Linked DNA regions of Pelodiscus sinensis. The protein of the gene in region 1 interacts with the protein of each later gene in a pairwise test. Links are inferred from orthologs where the notes say so. Each region holds a gene or a part of one and is shown in the gene's direction. Other genes may lie near its edges.

Evidence for each region.
Region 2: the proteins of PIAS4 (region 1) and SMAD7 interact in a two-hybrid assay, tested with the Homo sapiens proteins (2 studies listed by BioGRID and IntAct). The link is inferred for Pelodiscus sinensis from reciprocal best matches to the Homo sapiens genes PIAS4 and SMAD7.

The regions. Positions count from the first base shown.
Region 1 is NC_134729.1:22,026,249-22,033,534, forward strand, and holds the start of PIAS4 (E3 SUMO-protein ligase PIAS4), read left to right. Parts: upstream 1-4,058; 5' UTR 4,059-4,164; coding exon 4,165-4,191; intron 4,192-7,286.
Region 2 is NC_134716.1:116,248,642-116,256,352, forward strand, and holds the start of SMAD7 (mothers against decapentaplegic homolog 7), read left to right. Parts: upstream 1-4,572; 5' UTR 4,573-6,252; coding exon 6,253-6,748; intron 6,749-7,711. UniProt on the Homo sapiens protein: Antagonist of signaling by TGF-beta (transforming growth factor) type 1 receptor superfamily members; has been shown to inhibit TGF-beta (Transforming growth factor) and activin signaling by associating with their receptors thus preventing SMAD2 access.

The DNA.
Region 1 (7,286 bases):
CCGGGGAGGCTGGAACCACCTGCATCCCTTCCCTCTCTTCCTTTCCCTAGTGCTGTGGGGAGTGCTCGGCGTGCTGCCCCACCTCCTCCCTGGGAGGGCGGGGTCTCAGCAGAGGGGGTAGGAGGCCTGCCTCCCCCGGTCCCAGCTGCACCAACCACCCATGTATAAGGCAATAGTTGAGGTGTGGGTGTGTTTTGAGCGAGTCCGCTTTCATCCCACATGCCTCCGGCTTTACAGAGCCGGGGCAATGCTCAGACAGCTTAGGGGGTAGGTTACCCTACACCGAAAGTTTGAAAAGGGGCTTCCCTTTGCCCATGTCTTTCAACCCTGTCGACAAAGGACAAAGGCTTTCTGCAGCTCCTGCTCACATTAGGGATATTAAAATGTGTTTAGTTTGGTAAAGGTGTACCTGCTGAAAATGTCAGCAGGCACACATTTGCTTGCAGAGAGCAGGAAGGGGGGAAGGTGTGGCTCCCAGGGAGCCTGCCCCACGCTGCTGCTAGAAGCAGCAAAGGGGAGGCAGAGGTGTCTCTGCAGGAGCCAGTATGTGTGGGGAGATGACTTGAAAGCTGGCTCCCTGCACATGGCTGCTCCCACCTGTCCCTCCGCAATACTGACACAGAGGAAGTGGAAGTGGGAGGAAAACAGCTGGGCGGGAGCCAGTATACTTTTAACCTGACTCCCCACATAAACTGGCTCAATTTCATAATAGTTTTGCTTTTCATATTTTAAGATGAAAACATATTGTCTCAGAACTCCAACCATCTGAAAAGATTTTTTTCCCCATTTTTCTTTTAACAAAAATCCACTCTAGTCTGACTTTAAGCGAAGAAAGTTTCAACTCCAGAGATGACAACTTTTTTGGAAAGTTGTGATCAAGGGAAAACAGAAGAGGTAATAACCAAAATCCAGATGTAGCTGTAATGCAGAATCAAGAATTTAGGCCCCGATCCTGAAAGTTGGCCCACCTGGATAGAGCCTTGGACTCCTGTACAGCCTGCTGCATGTTCTCTGTGTGTCCTCATCTGTAAAATGGGACTAAGGATACTACCCTCCTTTGTAAAACACGGGGGTGTGATGGGGAAGAATCCGAGAGACACCTGAAATCTACTGATGAAAAGTGCCACATACAAGCTGGGGATTATTTATTTATTGACATCTTGGGGCTCTGCACAAGCAGGAGTTAGGCACCTAGGTACATAAAAGACCCACTTGACACCTCTCTGCATGTAACATAGCCTTAAAAAGCCTAAACAGCGTTGCCTCATTGCTGGTGGGTTAAAGTCAGACTTAGGAGACCTGGGTTCTATATTTAATTCTACTGCTAGCTTATTGGGTGCTTTTTGTCAAATCGCATCCCTTCTCCATACATCGGTTTCTCTACCTGTGAAATGGGGCCACTGATATTGACCTCTTTTGCAAAGCACTTCAGAGGAGAGACTGGATAAGAGGGTTATTCTTGCCTTTCAATGACATCTAGGCTCCTACGTGCATCTGTGATGTCTGCAAACAGGCATGGGCGTCATGGAACATTCTGCCTTAGGAGTTTGGCCCCCATCTTTCATGGCCTTTGTGCCATTTGTGGCTGTGAAAATGTCTCCCATTGTCCCTAAGGTCTAAGATTTTTAAAAAGGGAGACATAGAATCGTAGAAGTGGAAGGGACCTTTTGAGGTTGTCCAGTCCAGTCCCCTGCACTCATGGCAGGATCAAGCACCATGGACAGGTAATTGTCTAACCTGCTCTTAAATATCTCCAATGATGGAGATTTCACAACTTCCCTGGGCAATTTATTCCAGTGTTTAACCACCCGGACAGAAAGATTGTCCTGATGTCTAACCTGAACCTCCCTTGCTGCAATTTAAGCCCATTGCTTCTTGTCCTGTCCTCAGAGATTAAGGAGAGTAATTTTTCACCCTCCTCCTTGTAACAACCTTTTAGAAACTTGAAAACTCTTAGTATGTCCGTTCTCAGTCTTTTCTTTTCCAGATTAAACAAACCCGATTATTTCAACCTTCCCTCAACGGCCATGTTTTCCAGACCTTTACATTTAGGCCTATAAATCCCCAATCCTTTAAAGATTTATGGGCATGCTTATGTGCATGGTTAACTTGTTTATGTGCAGGACTTGTCATAGTGCATAATGTTAACCATTCTCATTAAGACTTTGCAGAATAAGGGCCTGACTTCCAAAAGACATCAGTGGGAGCTGCTCCGTGTTCAGCACTTTTGTAAACAAGGTCATTCCGAGAGATGCCTAAATATGAACCTAGCAGTCTAAGTTTGGGCACGTAAATCTTGGCCAGGGATCAACAGTGTCTTTTTGTCTTCTTTGTGTGGTTGCCAACACTTGCAATTTTATTACAAGGTCTCATGATAGGCGGTGACTTTCTTAAAAGCCCCGACTTCTGGAAGCAAGCGATTCCATTAATATCTAAGGGTACGTCTACAGTAGAAACACTCCAGTAGTGGAGCTTCCATGCTGCAGCTGTGCTGCACAGTTATTGCCAAGCGAATCCACCTCTCCACAAAGTGGTAGCTTGTCTGATAGAAGAATTCTTCTGCCAACCTCTGTATCTACTACTCCAGGTCTTAGGTCAGCTTTAATTACATGGCACAGGAGAGTAAATTTTTCGCAGCCCTGAACAATATAGTTGGACCAACCCAGCTTTGTATTTTAGACCAGCTCTTTAAAAAAAAAGTTACTAATCCCCTGTGGCTGTGGAAAAAAAGCTTGAGTAGAAAGGTTAAAAGCCAAAAGGGAAATTAAAAGAACTCCAAATATATTATTTTTTAAAATCCCATGACTTTTAAGCCATTCTTGTGATATTTTGAACTCCTATGGCTGGCCCAACAAAGTTTGAATGAAAAACAGCTGGAACAAATATACAAGTTTGAAAAGTGCTCACTGTATATGCCCAGCAGAGATTCTGAAAGGGTGAACAAAGGAAACCAATTCCAGCTCATGTCCTTTTATGCTGCTCTGTGATGGGTAAGAGAAATCCGAAAGATGTATTTGTTTTATAAAAGGTTTGTTTCTGGTTTCACAGAGGCTTTTCTATTTTAATTTGCTGTGGTGGATATGTATGTGTGTATAGGGGGGATGGCGGTTTGTTTTCCGAAAGAACATTTCATATGCATTTGACCCCAACACATTCAAAGGAGATTCTTATTCTGGCCATATATAATCCAGGTTTGCGGTAGGCTTTGGCCTGATCTGCACACCACATAGGTGGATGCAGCTATAGAAGTGCGGAGTGTGACAAATCCACACTCCTGCACGCTGTAGCTACGTCGACCTCACGTCCAGTGCAGACACAACTAGATCATGGGAAAGATTCTGAAACTGAGGGCACAGCGGCATCCCCTGGCTCGGAGCAATTTCCACCAAACTGAGTTTATTTACAGTTTGATTCAATGGCACACAGCACCCCAGCTCTGCAACTTGTACCCCAACTAGCGTGTACATGCCTTGCTGGGGGGAGGGCAGGATTATCCCCGGAATCCAGGGGCTAACTTGCCAGAGCAACAGCCCCCCCCATACGCTCCCCTGCAGGCAATGCAGAACTAGGCACCCCATGAATTCAACGGCACGGGGGTGCAGGAGCCAGCATGGCCTTGTCTCCCACCCCACGAAGCCCGTGGCGGGTTGGCTGCGGTGAGCCCCTTCATAAGCAATGCAGGGGGCTAATTGCTCTCTGCCTCGCCTTCCCATTAATGGCCTTTGTTAGCCCGCCAGTGGGCTAATTAATTATTAATTAATTAATTAATTAATTAAAGCCCGTTCTCTGGCTGCCCCGCCCGCAGACGAGGGCCCTGTTGCTGGCCGGGGCCCAGCTCCCCGGGAGGAGCGGGGTTTGCAGCGCCCCGTTCTGCCCCGGGCCTGGCGCTGTCCCCCCTCCCCAGCCCCCCGGCTCTGTCACTTTAAGAGCCCGGAGGCGGCTAGAACGGGGTCATGGGCGGGGCGGGAGTGGGCGGCAGCGCGCGTGCGCGGGCGGGCGGCCGGCGAGGGGCGGGGGGCTGGAGCGCGATGGGATTGGTTCCCCGCTCTTCCCTAAGCCCGCCCCCTCGGGGGGGGGGGGAGGAGGGAGGGCGAGGAAGGAAAGGGTGCGTGTCACGTGACTCGGCGGCGGCTCCCGGCGCGCCGGTGGACGCTGGAAGCCAAGATGGCGGCGGAACTGGTGGAGGCGAAAGTGAGTGAGCGGCCTCCCCTCAGCGGGGGGCGCGCGGGGCGGGGCCCCGGGGGCGGCCGTGGCACGGCCGGGGAGCGCGGCTCCCAGCACCCGGGGCCGGGCGGGCCCCTGGGACCTTCCCTGCGGCAGGCGCCGCTGGCTCCCACCTCCCCCGCGGGCACCCGGGCCGGCCTGCTCGCCGCCCCCCCCGCCCGGGCCTCGCCCGCCAGCTCCCTGCGGGCCCGGGCCGAGCCTCCCCGGGCCCGGGCCGAGCCTCCCCAGCCCCGCCCCTGTCGGCCGGAGCCCTCGCCCGCTCCCCCGGCGGCGCCGTCCCGTTACCAGAGACCCCCCCCCCCCCGCCGCCAGCGTCGTCCCATTCCCCCCCCCGTGTCCCTACGGGACCCCCATCCCCTCGCGTCGGCTCCGTCCTGCCTCCCCGCCCCGCCATAACCATCCCCGGGGGCTCCCTGCCCTTCTGTAGCTGACCCCGGAGACCCCACCCCTCCCTGTACCCACCTCCCAGTGTCAGTGCCAGCCTGTCATCCCCCCTCTCCGAGACCTCCACCAGCAGCCTCAGCATTTTCCTGTCTGTGCCAACTCCACGGGCCTTCACTCAGCCTCTTTGCATCCCCAGGCTGATTCCTGTGCTTCCCTTGGGGCCTTTCCGGCTCCCCCACTGACCCCTGAAATTGCCCACCACTTAGAGCTTCCCCTGTTTTCATTCTGTGCAGCTGATGCTTCAGATTCCCCACCCACCGCTGTCTTGGCATCTTCTCATCCCAACACTGAACCCTAAGATCTCCCCCATTTTAGCAGGCTGTGATAAAATGATTAAAACAGGCATACTGCTCCCCACACACCTTGGCTTTCCTCCCGACACTCTTCTCCTCCCCCCCCTTCATCTCCTGCTACTATTGCCTCTTCCCAAGTAGTCATTGCCTCAGGTCCCTCCTGCAGTTCTCCCATCTACTCTCTCATTTTTCCTTTCCTCTGTGACTCCCTCATGACGCCCCCTTTCCTGTTCCAATCTCAGCTCTCTGGGCTTCAGAGTGAAGAGTTTGTAAGTGCAATTGGGGGTGTGAGTGTGAAGTGATGACATCCAGGTTTCCTCCACTGACATTTTAGGAAATGGTTTTGGAGTGAGGGGTGAGTGAACTGTCCAAATGTCTCCTGTGGGTCATATTGTTTGCAAAGTTTACCCCCCACCCCTATGAAAGCATAAATGGATTGTTTTATTATCTGAATTGAAGGTATTGAGAAGCTTCCAGAGAAGTGAATATGGAGGTACCTAATGAATGAGATCTGAAGCTTTAAGAGTTCTAGAGAAAATGTTGATAGTCTATAAATCTGCATACATTAGAGGATTCTGTGATATCTGATGTATTTGGAGGTTGCTTAGTGACATGACAATTTAAAAAAAATATTAAACTGCATTATACTTACAAAATATTTTGTGCATGACGAGCACCGTTGGAGAGAGGAAGACTTGCACAGATTCCAAGATTGAGTCCAGTTCTGCTATGTGATACTGCTCTCTGCATGAGTAGGGCTCTTCAGTTCCTGCCTGCCAGTGAGTGGAATCACAGGTGTACTGTCTGTGAAGCAGAACTGTAACCTCACAGTACAATAACAAGACTTCCAGGATAAAGTCCCATTCTTGCCTGTCTAAAGACTTCAAGTGACTTCAGTCATGGCTGAAGGTGCTCAGCTTCTGGCAGGATTAGGCATTAAGTAATGGAATAACAGGGCAGACCCAGTGAATGCTGTGAATCATAGAACTGGCTTATATAGGGCAGACATAAAATGTAGAAAACTGTACATCTAGACATAATGGTGGCTGATTCCCCTTCTTGTGTTAAGCCTTCTTTATTATTGTGGGCAGAAGCCCACCATTCCTCCGAAAGGAAGTATCTTAAAGATATCTGTTGTCTGGCTGTAGCGAGAATTCATTATCTTCCATGCTTCAACACACAATTTGCTGTCTTTTGGCTGCACAAGGCTTACATCTATATTCACTTTACAATAATCTCATGAGCTAACGAGAACTGCATATTCCTACCACTCTGAGTTAGAAGCCTGAGGTTCTAGACTAGAGATGTAAAATCCTGTTTAAAATGTTAAGCAGTTAAACATATGATAACCAGCTCCTCGCTTAGGGTCTGGCTGGACTGGTGCATCCCTCCCCCATGGTAGGCACCCTGGAAAGCATGGCTTTGTCAACACTGGTTAACTGGTAATCCCAATTCTAAACACATAGGCTATGTCTAGACAGGCCAGTTTTTCCGGAAAATCAGCCGCTTTTCTGGAAAAACTTGCCAGCTGTCTACACTGGATGCTTGAATTTCTGCAAAAGCACTGATGATCTCATGTAAGATTGTCAGTGTTCTTGCAGAAATACTATGCTGCTCCCGTTCGGGCAAAAGTCCTTTTGCGCAAAACTTTTGCGCAAAAGGGCCAGTGTAGACAGCTCAGATTTGTTTTGTGCAAAAGAGCCCCGATCGCGAAAATGTCGATTGGGGCTTTTTTGTGGAAAAGCGCGTCTAGATTGGCACGGACGCTTTTCTGCAAAAAGTGCTTTTGCAGAAAAGCGTCCATGCCAATCTAGATGCTGTGTTCCGAAAATACTTTTAACGGAAAACTTTTCTGTTAAAAGCATTTCCGGAAAATCATGCCAGTCTAGACACAGCCATACAGGTTAAACCCTTGGGACTTGGCCAGTGCCAAACCAGATAATTTGCAAGACCATGGTGGGGGTGGTCAGTATTGTGTAGCAGCATTTCCAACACTTTCACTGCTTACTGGGCTCTTAGAAGTCTTATGGGGTAAATTAGAGCTAAATAACAGCACAGAACACTGAGACAGGACTAGTGGCTTTAAAGAAACTTTATGGGATGACGGGAAACTTGGCCACACCCATACGTGGACATCTAGATAACTAAAATTATGTGGGACCACGGATGTTGCAGGGCCAGAGTGTGCCAGACTAGAGCGGTTCAACCTGTATTTCTTTGTGCTAAAATAGCCTGCTTTGCTTTTTATTCAAATCTGATAACGTCTCTAGACCCAAAATCTGGGTAAACATAAATTGCAAAAAAGCAGCAAGAATTATATGCTTA
Region 2 (7,711 bases), on another chromosome or scaffold:
CTGTGGCATTCAATCACACTGGATAAGTATGTTAGCTCAAAATAAAAAGCCCCCAGGTAGTTTCTAGCATCAACAATCAAATTATATTATCCTAACAAATTTAATGCCCTATGAGGGTAAATAAGGTCAGGTTCACACTTCTCTAATATGTATTGTTTGTCTCTCTTGTAGACTCAGGAAGACAACTTTGCATCAGGTCACACTGAGGTTTTTTTTTTTTTTTTTTGCAGTCATAAGGTCTATTTGCTATTTAAATGAAAGCTGCAGAGACTGAGAAAGAAGCAGAAAAGTGCCAAAAATGACATTCTAGCTCACTCTGAACCTTGTTTGCAAGCCTCTGAAATTAAACATTTATAACTGAAGCAAATTTAACTATTTTAAATCTTTTAATCTGCATGGAGTGCCACTCAAGTACATGAAATCTCCATTTTCTTTCTTGCCTTCTCTCCAGACAGGCTTGTTCCTTCCTACTTATTGTTACAGTATTTGTAAATATTATCACCAAGAGCTATTCCCAAAAGAGAAAAATAATTAATATTTGTTATTGATCCAATCCTAGCCCAGAAAGACCACGAAAATGGATCATCTTTGTTTATATGTGTCTGGTAACGATGTCAGGCCTCATTTTATCGTGTGTGTGTGTGTGTGTGTGTGTGTGTGTGTGTGTGTGTGTGTGTGTGTGTGTGTGTGTGTGTGTGTGTGTGTGTGTGTGTGTGTGTGTGTGTGTGTGTGTGTGTGTGTGTGTGTGTGTGTGTCTCTCTCTCTCTCTCTCTCTCTCTCTCTCACCCTGGTGCTGTTAAAAAAGCAATTAGGTTAACAGTGCCCTGGCTCCAACTGTCTGTCAAATGCTGAATTGCAATGCAAATTAACTCCAGTTTATCACTCTTAACTTTTCAAAGACAATTGCGTAACAGGAAAGTCTCCAGAAACCTCCATATGAATAGTGTCTGGAAAGAAAAGGTATAGTTTTTATTTTGTATTTGATTTCACTTCCATAATCAAATGTATTTGTCCATATTTTTGATGATGGATTTAATTCATATGTACAAATTACTTTTCTCTTGTTAAAAATAAATCAAGTTGGAAAAACAGCTTTAAATTAACCTACAGATCACATAGTTGAGAAATTTTTGTCTGTTTGTTAGTCCAAACCCAGTTTATTTAAATCAGATAATTAGGCCCTTTAAAGTCAAAGGGATAAGTTTATCCCATTCCCTGGAGTTGTATTAGAGATGAGTTTCACACCCAAGAGTAAATTGAACAGATACACTGGTTGATGACACCCTCTCCATTATCTGAATGACATTGTCATATCCCCGGGATATTTCAACATGCATTTTTTTGCTTCCTAACTGTCGCTCTTGGAGAAGAGGACGTATTTGGTTCACATCTACTTGCCAACGAATAAATACAGTAACATCAGGGGATGCTTTAATGGGCTTATTTATATGATTTAAATGTACTGGTTTGGCCTAACAAGTCAGATTTTATACAGTAACTATTAAAAAAAGAGAACACATACTTCTTTATTCTTTCCATTTTAGACACATGTCCATTTCCCTAAGTACATCTAAATCTAGCTTTTTAGAAAAATAAGACATGGAATTAATGATTGAAAGAGGTATAATATGGAAGAACCTGCCCCTGATTGTATGATAAATAGTGAAAAAAACAGTTAAAAACACAAAATATTTGCACTTTTTAATTGATTATTGATTTAATCTTTTTCTTTGTGACATTTAATAAAGCCATACAAGGACAATTAAATAATTAATTTATTCCAAATAATACAATAAATTTCACCTGCAGGGCTCAAGGTACTTTACAAAGGAGGATAAATATTTGTTTCCCCATTTCACAGATAGAAAAACTGAGGTGCAGAAAAGATGAGGTTTCTATTGAAGCTAGTGGCAAAATCAGTAGCAGAGCTGGAAGAAGTACCCAAGTCACCTGAGTTCCAGTTTTGTGCTCTGTCCATTGGACCACATTTTGTCCTGGCACAGCACATTGCTAATTACCATTCTTGTCACTCTGGTTTGTAAATATAGGAATCTCTGCATTACTATTATCAAAATAACTAATAATGCAAACATAAATCACAATAGAAAAAGTGATGATTATAAAGGAAAAATTATACCCCTTATTCACCGTGAACGAATGGTTTGAATCCACCTCATTTATAGTAGTTTGGACAGCTTTTGACATAAAACAAGAATGTAATGCACATGGTAATAGGTGTGTCTATCTAATCTGGTCTTTCAGTATCAGCAGAAGCAGGGAAAGTATCTCTCAGTTTATCATATATACCACAGTGATAAAAGGTTTTGAGATTCTCTACACTGCTATAATAAAAAGAGGAGACAGTTTAAAAAAATAAGGTCACCTCTGAGGCTCATGAAAGAGATATTAAAAGAAAGAAATGTAATTTATTTTCAATTTTTCAAGTCTCCGAAGTGACCATTAAAAAAATTGCACTGTACTGGAAAGTGCAGCAAACTTAAAAGCTGATGCCCTGGCTGCACTATATGGCCATTAATCCTTTGTTACTTCAAGGTTAGATTACTGCAATGCACTCTCCATGGGGCTGCACTGTTCAGAAATTGCGGAGTGTGGTGGCCCATGTGTTAAGAAAAGCTTATATTTACTCTGAAATATAATTTTATGTATGTATGTATATTTCTGTAGCACCTAGGAACCCTAAGCATGGAACCTACTGGGCTTGGTACAGAAGCAGAACAAAAAGTCCAACTGTTCAGGGTGAAATTTCTGGTGTTTATCCTCTGATTACCTTCCCTATAAAGCCATAAATCAGCCTTGATAAATTCTTCACCTAAATGCCCTGAGCAAAAAAAAAAAAAAAAAAAAAAGGACAAACCAATCATAGGGACAAAGGACAGGTGAATAGGTTTTATTCCCAGGATGGTATGTTTTCACTAGAATTTTTCAAGACAGTTCTACAGGCTTGGCTTCCAACTACCTTGATCCTGCCAGTAACACAAACAGCTTTTGTGCATGTGAATAGTTTCATTGGAGTATTGAGTCCTGAGGTGTGTATTTGCAGGATAAGGCCTACTACATTTGAGTCTGCATTCTTTGTGCATCCAATGCACCTGGAGAAGTCAATTCCAGGAATGCAGTGCATCTACAGTATGTATGTTCTAGGACGTTTTAGAATAATAACTCTTGGGCTGTCTGTGTTTTATGGGTTTTGTCTTGTTTATTTCACTGAAATTACTTTGGAATCAGGTTTGTTTATAGTAGCTAGTGTTCAGAGCATGTGATTTTAGAAACATGGGTCTGTTTCCAACTCTGCAACTGACTTTACAATATGACCTTAAGCAACTCACTTGTTGGTCTGGGCCTGGTCTCTGGCAACACTTGCACACATGAATAATCCTATTAAATCCTATGTCAGTGTTTGCAAGATTGTGATTTTCAGGATTAAAGCCCAGCACTAGATCTGGGTTGGTCTCCAGCTCTAGTGCTGTGTCATCACATATAACCACTGTGTCTCAGTTTACCCCTCTGCAAAACTGGCATAGTAAGCCTGACTTGATGGGGGATATGAAAGGCTTCATTTATTAAAAATGTCAGGTTCTTTGAAGCATTGCACTATATAGTGCAAAGTGTTGTGATGATGTTTTATTAATATCCATGGCTCATTTTCCTCACTTGTAAGAAAGGGTTAATTACACTTACCCACCATTGAGATCCTCTGATGACAAGTGCTGTACAAGTGCAAAGTGTTTTCATTACATTTTACCTAATGTCTTTCTTTGGCTTTACAAATTAACTGTTGATTTAGTTTATAGATTTTTTAAAAATTGCAATTTATTATGGCATTTATTTATTTTACACAACCACAGTTGTAGGCCTCCCCTCCTGTGGTCAGATACAGGGCCTTTGGACAGACACAGGGAACTGCATCAAACAATCCTATTTCAGGATCTTTGTTTTACTTTTTCTGGGTGTTTTCTACACCCTCTTTTCTCACCCATCTGAAAAACCATCTTTTTGCATCCTTTGTGCAAGCACCTCGTATATATGTCTCTTTAATAAGGGCCCAATGCACAGCTCCACCTGACCCCAACTAAAAACAAATCTGCCAGTAACTTCAATGCAAAGAGAGCCACAAATTACAGTAATAATCCAGCATGCAGAAAAACAAAACAAAAAAGCCCAAACTGAGTCTGCAAACTCTTTTTTTGAATGTGAAAGCAAACCCTGTCGATACAAATATCGAGCAAGCTACCCCTCACCGCAGCATCTCACTGATAAATATCCTCTTGAGTTCATCTCCATGAGCAATTATTTCCTTGGTGCACTGTATCTTGATCGTGGTTTGGTTTTTTTTTAAAGAAAATTAATGTATTTCTTGAATGTGATGTGAATTCTATGCACTTCCCCTACCCGCTCCCCTCCTCGCTCTCCAGACTTCAGAAATAAAAAAATAGCTTTTAGAAACCCGATCTGTTGTTTGCGCAACACAATCACTTTTTTTTTTAAAGCGACAGGGTGTCTAGACGCCCACGTGATTGGGGGCCGGGGCTGGGCAGCGATACTGCGCACTGCGAGTCACCGAGGCAAAGCGGCGAGGAGGGGGGAAGGAGAGGAGGAGGAGGAGGCTGTTGGCTGGCTAGAGAGCCGAGCTGGCGGACGGCTGCAAGGCTATGGACACTGCTAGGTAATAGCCACCTCACTTGGGAGCCCCCCTCCTCTTCGCAGGCCACCCCCTCCAAAAGACAAGGAACTCCCCCTGTCGCCCAAGGGAAGGAAGAAGAAAAAGGTGTGTGCGTGTGGGGAGAGACAGAATCTTCTGCAATGAGCGCTCTGTGAAGGAAGAAGGGAGTGGAAAAAGGAGGGGAAGGAGGAAAAAAAAAGGCAAAGCAACCCAAGCGAGCCAAGCAAAAGGAGCTGCTTTTTTCCCCCGTGTGTGTTGATAGCCGATGCAAGGACTGGAAAGGCTGCCTTGGAGGAGGAGAGCTGCAGCCAGAAGGGAAGGAAGAAGAGCGAACGGCTGCATTAGCATGTACTAGCGAGAGAAAGAGCGAGACAGAAGAGAGACTGAAGGGGGGGGGGGGGGGCAGGTGATAATTTCAGCGCCTGTCATTCATTATAGGATCATCCCTGCCACTTCTCACCCATCCGTCCTTTTATTTTGTAAGGGTTGGGTGGGAGGAGAGGTGGGGGCAACTGTATTTTAAGAAAAACTGTCCCTACCTCCTGGTCTTTCTGAAAGGCAGCCAGGGAGAGGGGAGCGGAACCAGCCTTTTGGAAGGGAAGAGAGACTCCCACTTTTAAATATATATATATATATATATATATATATATATATATATATATATATATATATATATCTTAGCAGCCGCCTCGACGATTTTTTTGGTGTGTGGATTAAAATCTTTGCTAAGAAGAAGGGGAAAAAGCATCAGGAAGACTTGGGCGCTTTTTTAAAAAGGATGTAACATTCTTGGGTGCATTTTTTTTAAAAAAAATGTAAGTTTTTGTGATTATTCAGACGTCCACATTTTAGTTTTTTTTTTAAATTATGAGTTCTTTTGGCTCTTTCTTTTTAAAAATCCACCCCCTCTTGTAGAAAATCCTTTTTTCCCAGTCCCCTTCCAAAAAACTCTTATTTTTATGGAATCTATGGATATGTTATTACTAAGGAAATAGGGGTTTTTTTTTTTAAATCGTGTGCCTTCGTTTTGCAACACAGTTTTTGGGGGATGGGGAACATCTTGATTTTTTTTTATCTAAAACAGTCATCCTCATCTGAAACCAAATGTGATCTAGAGATTTTGCAATCACTTTGACAGACCTGCAACACAAGAAGATCTGTTCTTCCCCTATCTCTTTGACGGGGGAGCATGTTTTCTGCAATTCTTCTGATACAGTGAACATTTGATTTCTCCCCTCCACCCCATCTCTTTTAGTTTCTGTTCTCCCAGTTCCTATTTAGAAGTAGTTGGTGAGAAATTCTGAATAGATCTGTATGAAACTGTAGGATTTCCAGCGGCTTTTTGAAGGATTTAAGAGAGACAGGAACAACTCCAGCCCTGTAAGAGACTGGCGTATGTTACAGATTGCTTTGGCTCTTCCACAACCTCCACCGCCACCAACCCTCCTCCCCACTATATCCCTATCATTTCAGGCTGCTTGTGTTGGCTGCCTGGACTCGGATCCCGGATTCTTCATGATTTGCGGACGACATGCTCGTTTTTTAGCCGGGAAACCTTCTTCTCGTCCCGCATGTTCAGGACCAAACGATCGGTGCTCGTCCGGCGACTCTGGAGGAGCCGTGCGCCCGGCGGGGAGGAGGAGGAAGGAGAGCCCGGGGAACCAGGAGCGGACAGCCGGGCGCATGGGGCTGGAGGCGGCCGGGGCTGTTGTATGGGCAAGTCGGGGAAGATCAGCAAAGCTCACCTCGGCTCGGAGGCGGAATTGAAAGCGCTGACCCACGCGGTCCTGAAGAGGCTGAAGGAGAAACAGCTGGAGGTGCTCTTGCAAGCGGTGGAATCCAAAGGGGGCACGCGGACCTCCTGCCTCCTCCTGCCCGGCAAGGTGGACTCCAAACTGGGCCAGCATTGGTACTCGCTCCCTTTGCTGCTGTGTAAAGTATTCAGGTGGCCCGATCTCAGGCATTGCTCGGAAGTGAAGAGGTTATGTTGCTGTGAATCTTATGGAAAAACTCACCCGGAGCTGGTTTGCTGCAATCCCCACCACCTCACCAGGCTCTGTGAACTAGGTACGCCGGAGGGCAGGCATGTGCACGGGTGGGAAACTCCCGAGCTGGGGTGGGTGAGCGGGTAGGAACACGGGAACTGCCGTATGCACAGAAAATAGGGACATAGGGGTGGGAGTCCAACACTGGTTCTGAGGATGGTTGGATAATCAGCGTCTATTGTCCGCGTTTGTGTCACACAATAGCCGAGGCTTCCAGGTTTTTTTACTCTGGCAAAATTCGCACGTCACCCTAGGAAGGTGCTTGGAGTTCGGGTTGCAATTTTTAGCCGGCCTCTTCCCTTGCAAGGCGCTTCTTGCACAGCGGGTTTCCTTTTTTTTTTTCTACCTGCAGTAAAACAAGGATGTGGTTCACTGTTGTCTATATGGAGAAGGCTGTGTACAAAAAAGGAAACCCTGTAACCCTTCAGATGCCTTGAACCTTTCAAACGATATTCAGCAGTGAATTTTTGCTTTAGAGAGGGTTGATAATTTGCAGAGAGGTCCCGGCGAACGAGCCAGACGTGCATAATCTAGATCTGCTTTGCTTTGGGAAATGGATCCCTGGAGTTTAGGTTTAATAACTGAATTTCCAGCCAGTCTTGGATTTACACAACAACCCAACTTTTGGACGCTAGTGGTTCGCAAATTCCCCCCTTAATATGAGAACGCATAGTTTAAGGATTGCAGTGTATCTTTTGGAAGCATGCTTCTCTCGCCTCCAGTCAGCAGAAAAGACTCAGAAAAGTTATCCGCCCGGGACCAAAACAAAAAACAAAAAAAAGGTTTTCAGTGCCTTTTTGTCGGTTAATGGAAATAGGGTTTTTTTGGCACGTTTAACTCCCGTGTTATTTACTCGATGGCCTAAAAGAGCGATCTCTGACTTGCATTTCATTTCCCCCTCCCCGTCTTTAAACATTGCAATTACTTGTAAACTTTGCTTAGTTGGTGTAGAATAGAAATCATCCAGTTCTGAGTAGAGGGGAGA